Rattus norvegicus: one gene and its partner. The main gene of each other region encodes a partner of the protein of the gene in region 2 in a complex. Links are inferred from orthologs where the notes say so. Each region holds a gene or a part of one and is shown on either strand. Other genes may lie near its edges. The genes, in order: Arl6 and Bbs7.

The links.
Region 1: the proteins of Bbs7 (region 2) and Arl6 are in contact, whole or in part, in a cryo-EM structure (PDB 6VBV), measured with the Bos taurus proteins. The link is inferred for Rattus norvegicus from reciprocal best matches to the Homo sapiens genes BBS7 and ARL6. Residues at the interface, in NP_001178275.2 of Bos taurus: Leu3, Ile249, Val250, Gly251, Asp300, Gly301, Tyr302, Asp303, Thr319, Glu320, Pro321, His323, Lys324, Glu325, Ser326, Gly327, Pro328; in NP_001069250.1 of Bos taurus: Met132, Asp133, Arg135, Thr139, Ser140, Val141, Ser144, Trp157, His158, Ile159, Cys160, Ala161, Asp163, Lys166.

What each region holds. Positions count from the first base shown.
Region 1 is NC_086029.1:54,184,096-54,187,919, reverse strand, and holds part of Arl6 (ADP-ribosylation factor-like protein 6), read right to left. Parts: intron 1,640-3,824; 5' UTR 1,613-1,639; coding exon 1,490-1,612; intron 1-1,489. UniProt on the Homo sapiens protein: Involved in membrane protein trafficking at the base of the ciliary organelle. Mediates recruitment onto plasma membrane of the BBSome complex which would constitute a coat complex required for sorting of specific membrane proteins to the primary cilia.
Region 2 is NC_086020.1:121,388,904-121,392,727, reverse strand, and holds part of Bbs7 (Bardet-Biedl syndrome 7 protein), read left to right. Parts: intron 1-84; coding exon 85-157; intron 158-891; coding exon 892-1,008; intron 1,009-2,450; coding exon 2,451-2,581; intron 2,582-3,824.

The DNA of each region.
Region 1 (3,824 bases), on a different chromosome or scaffold from region 2:
GAGCTGATATCAACCAAGTAGAAGCAAAAACTAGAGAAAGAATCAACAAAACCAGGAGCTCATCCTTTGAGAAATATCAACAAGATAGATAAACCCTTTGCCAGACTAGCCAGAGGGCACAGAGACAGTATCCAAATTAACAAAATCAGAAATGAAAAGGGAGACATAACAACAGAATCAGAGGAAATTCAAAAATCATGAGATCCTAGCACTACAAAAGCCTATATTCAACAAAACTGAAAAATCTGGAGGAAATGGATAATTTTCTAGATAGATACCAGGTACCAAATATAAATCATGATCAAAGAAACCATCTGTACTGGCTAGTTTTGTGTGTCAACTTGACACAAGCTGGTGTTATCACAGAAAAGGAGCCTCAGTTGTGGGAATGTCTTCACGAGACCCAGCTGTAAGGCATTTTCTCAACTAGTGATCAAGGGGGGAGGGCTCAGACCATTCTGGGTGGTGCCATCCCTGGGCTGGTGGTCTTGGATTCTACAAGAAAGCAAGCTGAGCAAGGCAAGGGAAGGAAGCCAGTGAGTAACATCCCTCCATGGCCTCTGCATCAGCTCCTGCTCCTGACCTGTCCTGTCCTGACTTCCTTTGGTGATGAACAGCAGTGTGGAAGTGTAAGCTGAATAAACCCTTTCCTCCCCCACTTGCTTCTTGGTCATGATGTTTGTTCAGGAATAGAAACCCTGACTAAGACATCATCTAAACAGTCCCATAACCCCTATAGAAACAGAAGTCATTAAAAGTCTCCCAATCAAAAAATGCCCAGGACCACATGGGTTTAGTGCAGAATTCTATCCATGATAAAAGTCTTGGAAAGATCAGAAATTCAAGGCCCATATCTAAACATGGTAAAAGTAAGAGACAGTTGCCTCCAGCTTAAGGTTCAGGAAATAATATCAAGAATAATATTTAATAATGCCTACCTCTGACTTGTGAATCATGTTTCACATGCTAGCTTTATATAGTTTTAATAATAATATTTTCATACATGTTACTCAAAATCACCATCTGTCACTGATACGCACACCATTGTTTAATTATACACAGAACTTAGAAGAAATTTAAACAAAGTGAGTGCAACCTGTAAGTAAACTTAGCCAATTTGTGAAGATCTTTAGGAGAAAATAAAGGAAGAAAAAGAGAACATCCCATCTTAATAATCAAGATATACCTACACAGTCATAAATATGTTGGGGTTGGGGATTTAGCTCAGTGGTAGAGTGCTTGCCTAGCAAGTGCAAGGCCCTGGGTTCGGTCCCCAGCTCCGAAAAAAAGAAAATAAACAAATAAATAAATAAACAAATAAATAAATATGTTGCATATGTAGCAAGCTACAGTTCACTGATATCCCTTTGATATTCCTTACAAGACTAGCAGGACTTCATACAAATATATGAAGTTGTAACTTAAAAGGAATGTTTCATATAACATTTCTCTAGTATCAGGAAATGTCGAGAATAACAGAAATACTTACATTTGAGGGTTTCAGTTTGTTAATGATTGTTGTTTTCCCACTATTATCCAGCCCGAGGCATAAAACATGAACCTCCTTCTTCTTCAGGCCAAGTAAACCTGAAAGTCTGTCCAGCAATCCCATATTGTGGCTTAAATATTTAAACAGCAACTGTAAGGGAAAAGAAACTATTATTTCAAAGGTACCTTACACATGAAATGCATTTGTCTGTACATGAAAAATGAAAAGACAATGGCAGCACACAAACCCATCCGTGTGGCTTTGCTCCCAGTAAACAGTGTAAGCCGATTATCAGAAAGGAGTCTTAACTGAAATGCAGACTGGCAGCTTATAAGCCTTGGCAACAAGGAACAACATCCCTGAAGCAACCACACTTGTAATATTCAGGAAGGAACTCTTGTTAGCCTCAGTATCACGCGGAGTTTGCCAAGTGTAGTGTTATTTATGAACGAGAGTTTGGTAGATACGGAACACTACAAAGGCAACAAGACTCAGCTGCAGCGTGATGCTAAAGCTTCAAAAGCAGAAGAAAGGCAAGCAAACGTTAAAGGGGCAGATGTCCTTTGAACCACTAGACGAATACCTAAAACAGAGGATGGTGATATTTTTTAAATAATTTGTAATTATAAAAGTTTTACTGTTTTTGTTTTCTACAGAGTGGCTTCCAGTTTGGGTCGGGTTTTCTATTGGTAGACAAAGAATGTCCTTATTCACCCACCTCTTATATAGTTCTGCAATTTACCACTAATTCTTTGGGAATAATGGATACATTCCTTCATAATTTCAGTTAATCTTACTAAACTCAATCTTTTCTTAACTATCTACAACATCCGACCATTATGTACAAGAGCTTTAACTATAATACCATTGTAGAACAGAAAAGTAAATGCACATTTAAACACACGTGTGCGTGTACACATACAGATATATAGACAGAGGCATACATATATACACACTTGTTATAAACATACAAATACACACACACACACACACACATATATTTAGAAGAAAAATGTCTTGTCAACTTTCTGTTCCTAGAGCAAATACTAAGATAAACCAGCCCACAATTTTAGAAGCTCTAGTCTAAGACAGAGTTCCTATTGTTGGAGACTAAGCTCTTAAGATAGGCCTTTGAGAAGTGTTTATTATTAATGCCATGTATAGGTTATCTCTCTTTCAGTTGTTGGCTTAGGAGGGGAGGGTCCCAGAGACTATTCCAAACAATGTACAAGGTATTGTCATTTCTCTTAGTTGCCCATGGGAATTATGGGTCATTTCTCTTAGTTGCTCATGATATTAAGACACTATGGCTGAAGACATCACACACTTTGGTCACATAATATGGAGAAATTCAGCTGAGACTGACCCAGAAGCTTCTTTCCTGATAGCTATCTTTCATAGTGCAGGAAAGTGCTATGCAAAAACTGGAGGCAAGTCTACGTCATCTGTGTACTGACACACCTGATAGGCTGTATGATAGGACCTGATGTCCATGGGTACAAACATGGCATGAGGGTTATGGGGGTAAACCAATGGCTTTCTGGTTGGATTTAAGGCCTGCTTTTCAGGCAGAAAAACATAGCAAACCTGACCACGAACCCATAAATGAGGAGGGCATAGGGAAAACCTACTACTATCAGTGTGCTACATCAATACTGCTGTCTATACTTTTATTATTATATCCACAGATTAATGCAGCTTTCAACCCTTATCAGAGAAGCTTCTTTTTGCAGTGGATAGCTTTGATATAAAAATTCCCAACCAGTCCATGTCCATAAAAAAGTAACTGCAAAAGCTCAGCTCTGAATCAAACACCTTTCTATACCACATCCCTCCTCCCAAGGCTTAGGAAACATTCTGGAAGAGGAGGCAGAAAGACTGTACAAGCCAGAGGTTGGGGAGGGAGGTACAGTCAAGCAGAGACTTCTGGACATGACAGGGTCAATGTATTCATGAACTCTTCACCACCTTGGTTGTCCACACAAGAACTGCCCAAGCCAGCCAACATTCCAGCATGGGTTAGGGAAGAGCTCACAAGGCCACAATGCTATCTGAGAAGCTAGGAGTGAATAGCTACCAAGCGAATCAATTTCCTTCAGGGACACAGTCATTGGCTGGGTGCCCACGTAGATGGCTCCGTACCCATGAGCATCAGGGCAGCACTAATTGGAGCCTCTGGGTTATTTTAAAAGAAAAGCAAGAAGAGGACATAAAGTTGGGAGGGATTACAGGAGTGGGGGTAGGGGGTCCAGGAAGAATTGCAATTGGGGAATAGGAAGTAGGTAAGATCAAAATGTATTGCACACAAGTATAAAGTAAAGAACAAAGTAATATA
Region 2 (3,824 bases):
ATATATTTACATATAGATATTTCTAATCATTTCTCCTATTCTTTTGACCGTTTTTCAGTTTTTAAATTTCTTGTTTTCCTGCAGGGATCTGATGTGACGTATGAAATCGAGGTTCCTGGTCCACCCACTGTCTTAGCGCTGCATAATGGAGACGGAGGTAGTCACACCCGATGGTCACAGCCAGCCATGCGTGCAAAGGGGAAGTCAAGACGGAGTTGTTACCGTGCAGTAGCAGTGTCCACTCACTTCCTGCTCAGTTATGATTCACAAATCACTGGGCTTCCTCATCTTGAAATCAGTTGTGGGAATGTGCTTCACCATGTGACATTCTAATTCCTATAACCATAACTGCACAGTGCAGGGGAACATGTTTGGTTCTCTTTGATGACATTGTTGTACTAAGAGCATAGAGCTGGAGGCCATTGTTAGGATTCCATAGGAATGACCTCAGAGCAGAGGAGTAGTAATAGTCTCGAGTTTAGATGCTTATGGACCAGCTTTCTTACAAGGAAGAAATGCTAGATAGTCATTTTAGTTCAGAAAAAGTAAATGTAACTAAATGGTATAAAGTCAACATTCTGGCATATATGGAATCTTTTTCTATTTTTATAAGTTTATTTTTCTGATGCATAAAAACAAACTACATATGAATGGTATCATGATGTTTTGATACATATATACCTAATATTTTCCCTTTAAAAATTTCCCTTATTGTAGCATTTGAAAAATGAGATTTTTACATTAAAATGTTTTTAGGGGGTTGGGGATTTAGCTCAGTGGTAGAGCTCTTGCCTTAGCAAGCGCAAGGCCCTGGGTTCGGTTCTCAGCTCCAGAAAAAAAAATGTTTTTAAAAGGTATTTGCATGTTTTTGTTCATTTTAATTTTATCTAGGTGACTCTGGGGAAGGTCTTCTGTTCGGCACATCAGATGGAAGGCTTGGGCTTATTCAGATCACAGCATCCAAACCAATACACAAATGGGAAATTCGAAATGACAAAAAGCGGGGAGGTAGGCTTCCACACGGTTCAGGTTATGAAATGGCAAGAGTCATCTAATGCAATAGCGTGTGCAGTGTATTCTGTTTGATTTAGTTATATCAGACAGCAGGCTTACCTCTGACTTACCTACTATTTGGTTATGGCAACTCTTATACTATAGATGTGATTTTTAAAATAAGAAATGCTACTTCTAGTTTAGGATAGACATACAGGTTAATAGCGTTTAGTCCACACTAAACCCCACTGTAACTGGGATAGAGAATTAATTGGAATCTAGGACATAAGAAATGTAGTGGGTTAGAAACTATTCCAAGTTTTTAAAGACCTTACAGATTTCCAAAGATTTACGCCCAACTTGGCAGCCAGTGAAACGGCTCTGTATATGTACAGGGAGTTTGTTCATCTGTTCATTTATCCTTAGCAAATACTTCCTGTGCGAGAGAATGGGTGGTGACTGTGCGTGCTCACTGCCCCGTCACCTGAAGAGAACACAGTAACAGTGAATGGTGAGGGAGGGATGGTGGGCACAGCTCCTCTTAGACTCAGAGGAAGAAGGTGCTGTAGGAAAGGCAATTTGAGCTGAGAAGTTTTGGGGAAAGAATATTCTAAGAGGAGGAAAAACTAATCACGAAGCTCTTGAGACGGAGGTGGGCTAGAGTCATCGGAGGACACTCGAAAGACCAGTGTGGCTGAGCAGCAGTGCGGCCTGAGGAGAATCGCAGGAGCAGGGACAGACTGTGGGTCCTTGAAGCATTGGAGGCGGGGGCTCCAATTAGAGTGCAGTGGGCAGTCCCGGGAGAAGTTTATGTGGAAGGTGTGACGTGGTCAGTTTCACTAAAAAGAACAAAATAGATTTGCATAGAGGATGGGTTTGGGAAGAAACATCCACATTGGAAACAGAGAGCACTCGGAGGTTGTTACAGTTACCAGCATCCTGGTAACTCTAGTTTACAGCATCCTGATTCACCCTTACTATGGAAGGAGAAAGAAGAGAGGGGAAAGAAGATGTCAGGGATAGAGCTGGAAGTGTTTCGTCTGTGTGCTGAGTAGCGTAATTTACTGGAAATGGGGGACAACCAGAGAGTGAGCAGTGCTGAAACAGTGCAGTAGAGTAGTAAAGAACTGTGCTGGGGGAGGAAGAGCGTGAGGTGCCCGTGTGCACGGGAAGGTGCCACATAAGAGCCTGGGGCTTCCTGAGGGTCAGAGCTAAGGGAGATGTAAACGTGTGCGGGTGCACTGCTGTGCGGGTGCACTGCTGTGTGGGTGCACTGCTGTGTAAATTGTTTGAAGCTTTGCAAAGAGAAAAACACCCAATTATATGCAAAGGTGTTCTTTTTACAATAAGTTTTGATGACTGTGTGGTACTATGTGAGTATATGTCTACCCTCTCCTGCATCTATCAGTTTCCTGTCTCACTGCTCTCATTACTCACCCCGCCCCCGCTTTCTACAGGTATCTTGTGTCTTGACAGCTTTGATATCATGGGTGATGGGGTTAAAGATTTACTTGTTGGGAGAGATGATGGAATGGTGGAAGTGTATAGTTTTGAGAATGCAAATGAACCCGTGCTACGATTTGATCAGGTAAGTTAATTTAGAAAGATTTGTGTGGGGCCTGGAGTGGTAGCTTGGTGTGGAGGACTTGCCTGGTGTGTATAAAGTCCTGGTTCAGCCCCTAAGACTATAAACCAGAAGCAAAACAAACAAAGACTATTTACTTACTGTTGGTTAGTTACTGTAGATATGGTTGATAGTTTGAATTTTTCTAAATTAAAAATATAGTACAATTAAAAAAACAAACAAACAAACAAAACACAATGTTGTTTTTCTATCCCAATCTGGTGAGGCTTCTAAATCCCAACCAGATCCTGAGGGAAAAGGATCAGGAATTCAAGGCCTGCCTGGAAGAGTAATCAACTTTACTGAGACTCTGCCCCAGAGCAGAAATGAAGAAGGGCCAGGACACTGTTCACTGATAAACCCTTTCCTAAAGTGTCCAAGGCTCCAGGTCTGACCACCAGGACAAATAAATAAATACTTGTAAAAATGTTGCCATTACCAAAATCTCTGGTCTGTTCTCCTGTTCAGTGGTGGAGTATTGCCCTTAAGCTGAAGAATAAATTCCTTTTTCATTCTCTCTCTTAAATATAATTTAAAACATACTAGGTATTAAATATTTTATTCTAGCATCTCTAAATTATAACAACACAGTATAGGGAAAACATGTTTGCTTTTCATCGATGGTTTTCATACATGTTTTACGGTAATAAGGGTGTAGACATTTAAGCCATACTGTTAGGATTCCATCGAAACTACCTGACAGCAGGTGCGTCCTGATAACAGACTGGCATCTAGACACTTAAGGACCTGTTTTCTTAGAGAAGAAAGACAAGGTGAAGTCATTCTAGTTCAGAAGATTTAAATGTAATTAAGGCATAGAGTCAATATAGACAGACATTCTCCATACATAGAATTTTTATCTATTTCTTATTAATTTTATTTTCTGACACATTAAAAACAAAAACTATATGAATGGTGGTATCATATGATATCAATATTTTCCCTTAAAGTATTTTAAATTACACTTATTTATATATTAATGTTTATGGGGCATATTTGTGTGCATGTTGTGTGTAAGCGCACACACTGCACACATGGGAGGCAGAGGATAACGTTCAGTTATGGGTTCTCTCTTTCCACCATCCGGATCCCTGGAATCACACTCAGGCTTCAGTTTCAGCGGTAGGCATCTTTACCCACTGAGTCATCCTGCTGGTCCCTGAGCATAATGTTGAACAGTCTTGGGTGGAAATGCTGAAAATGGTTT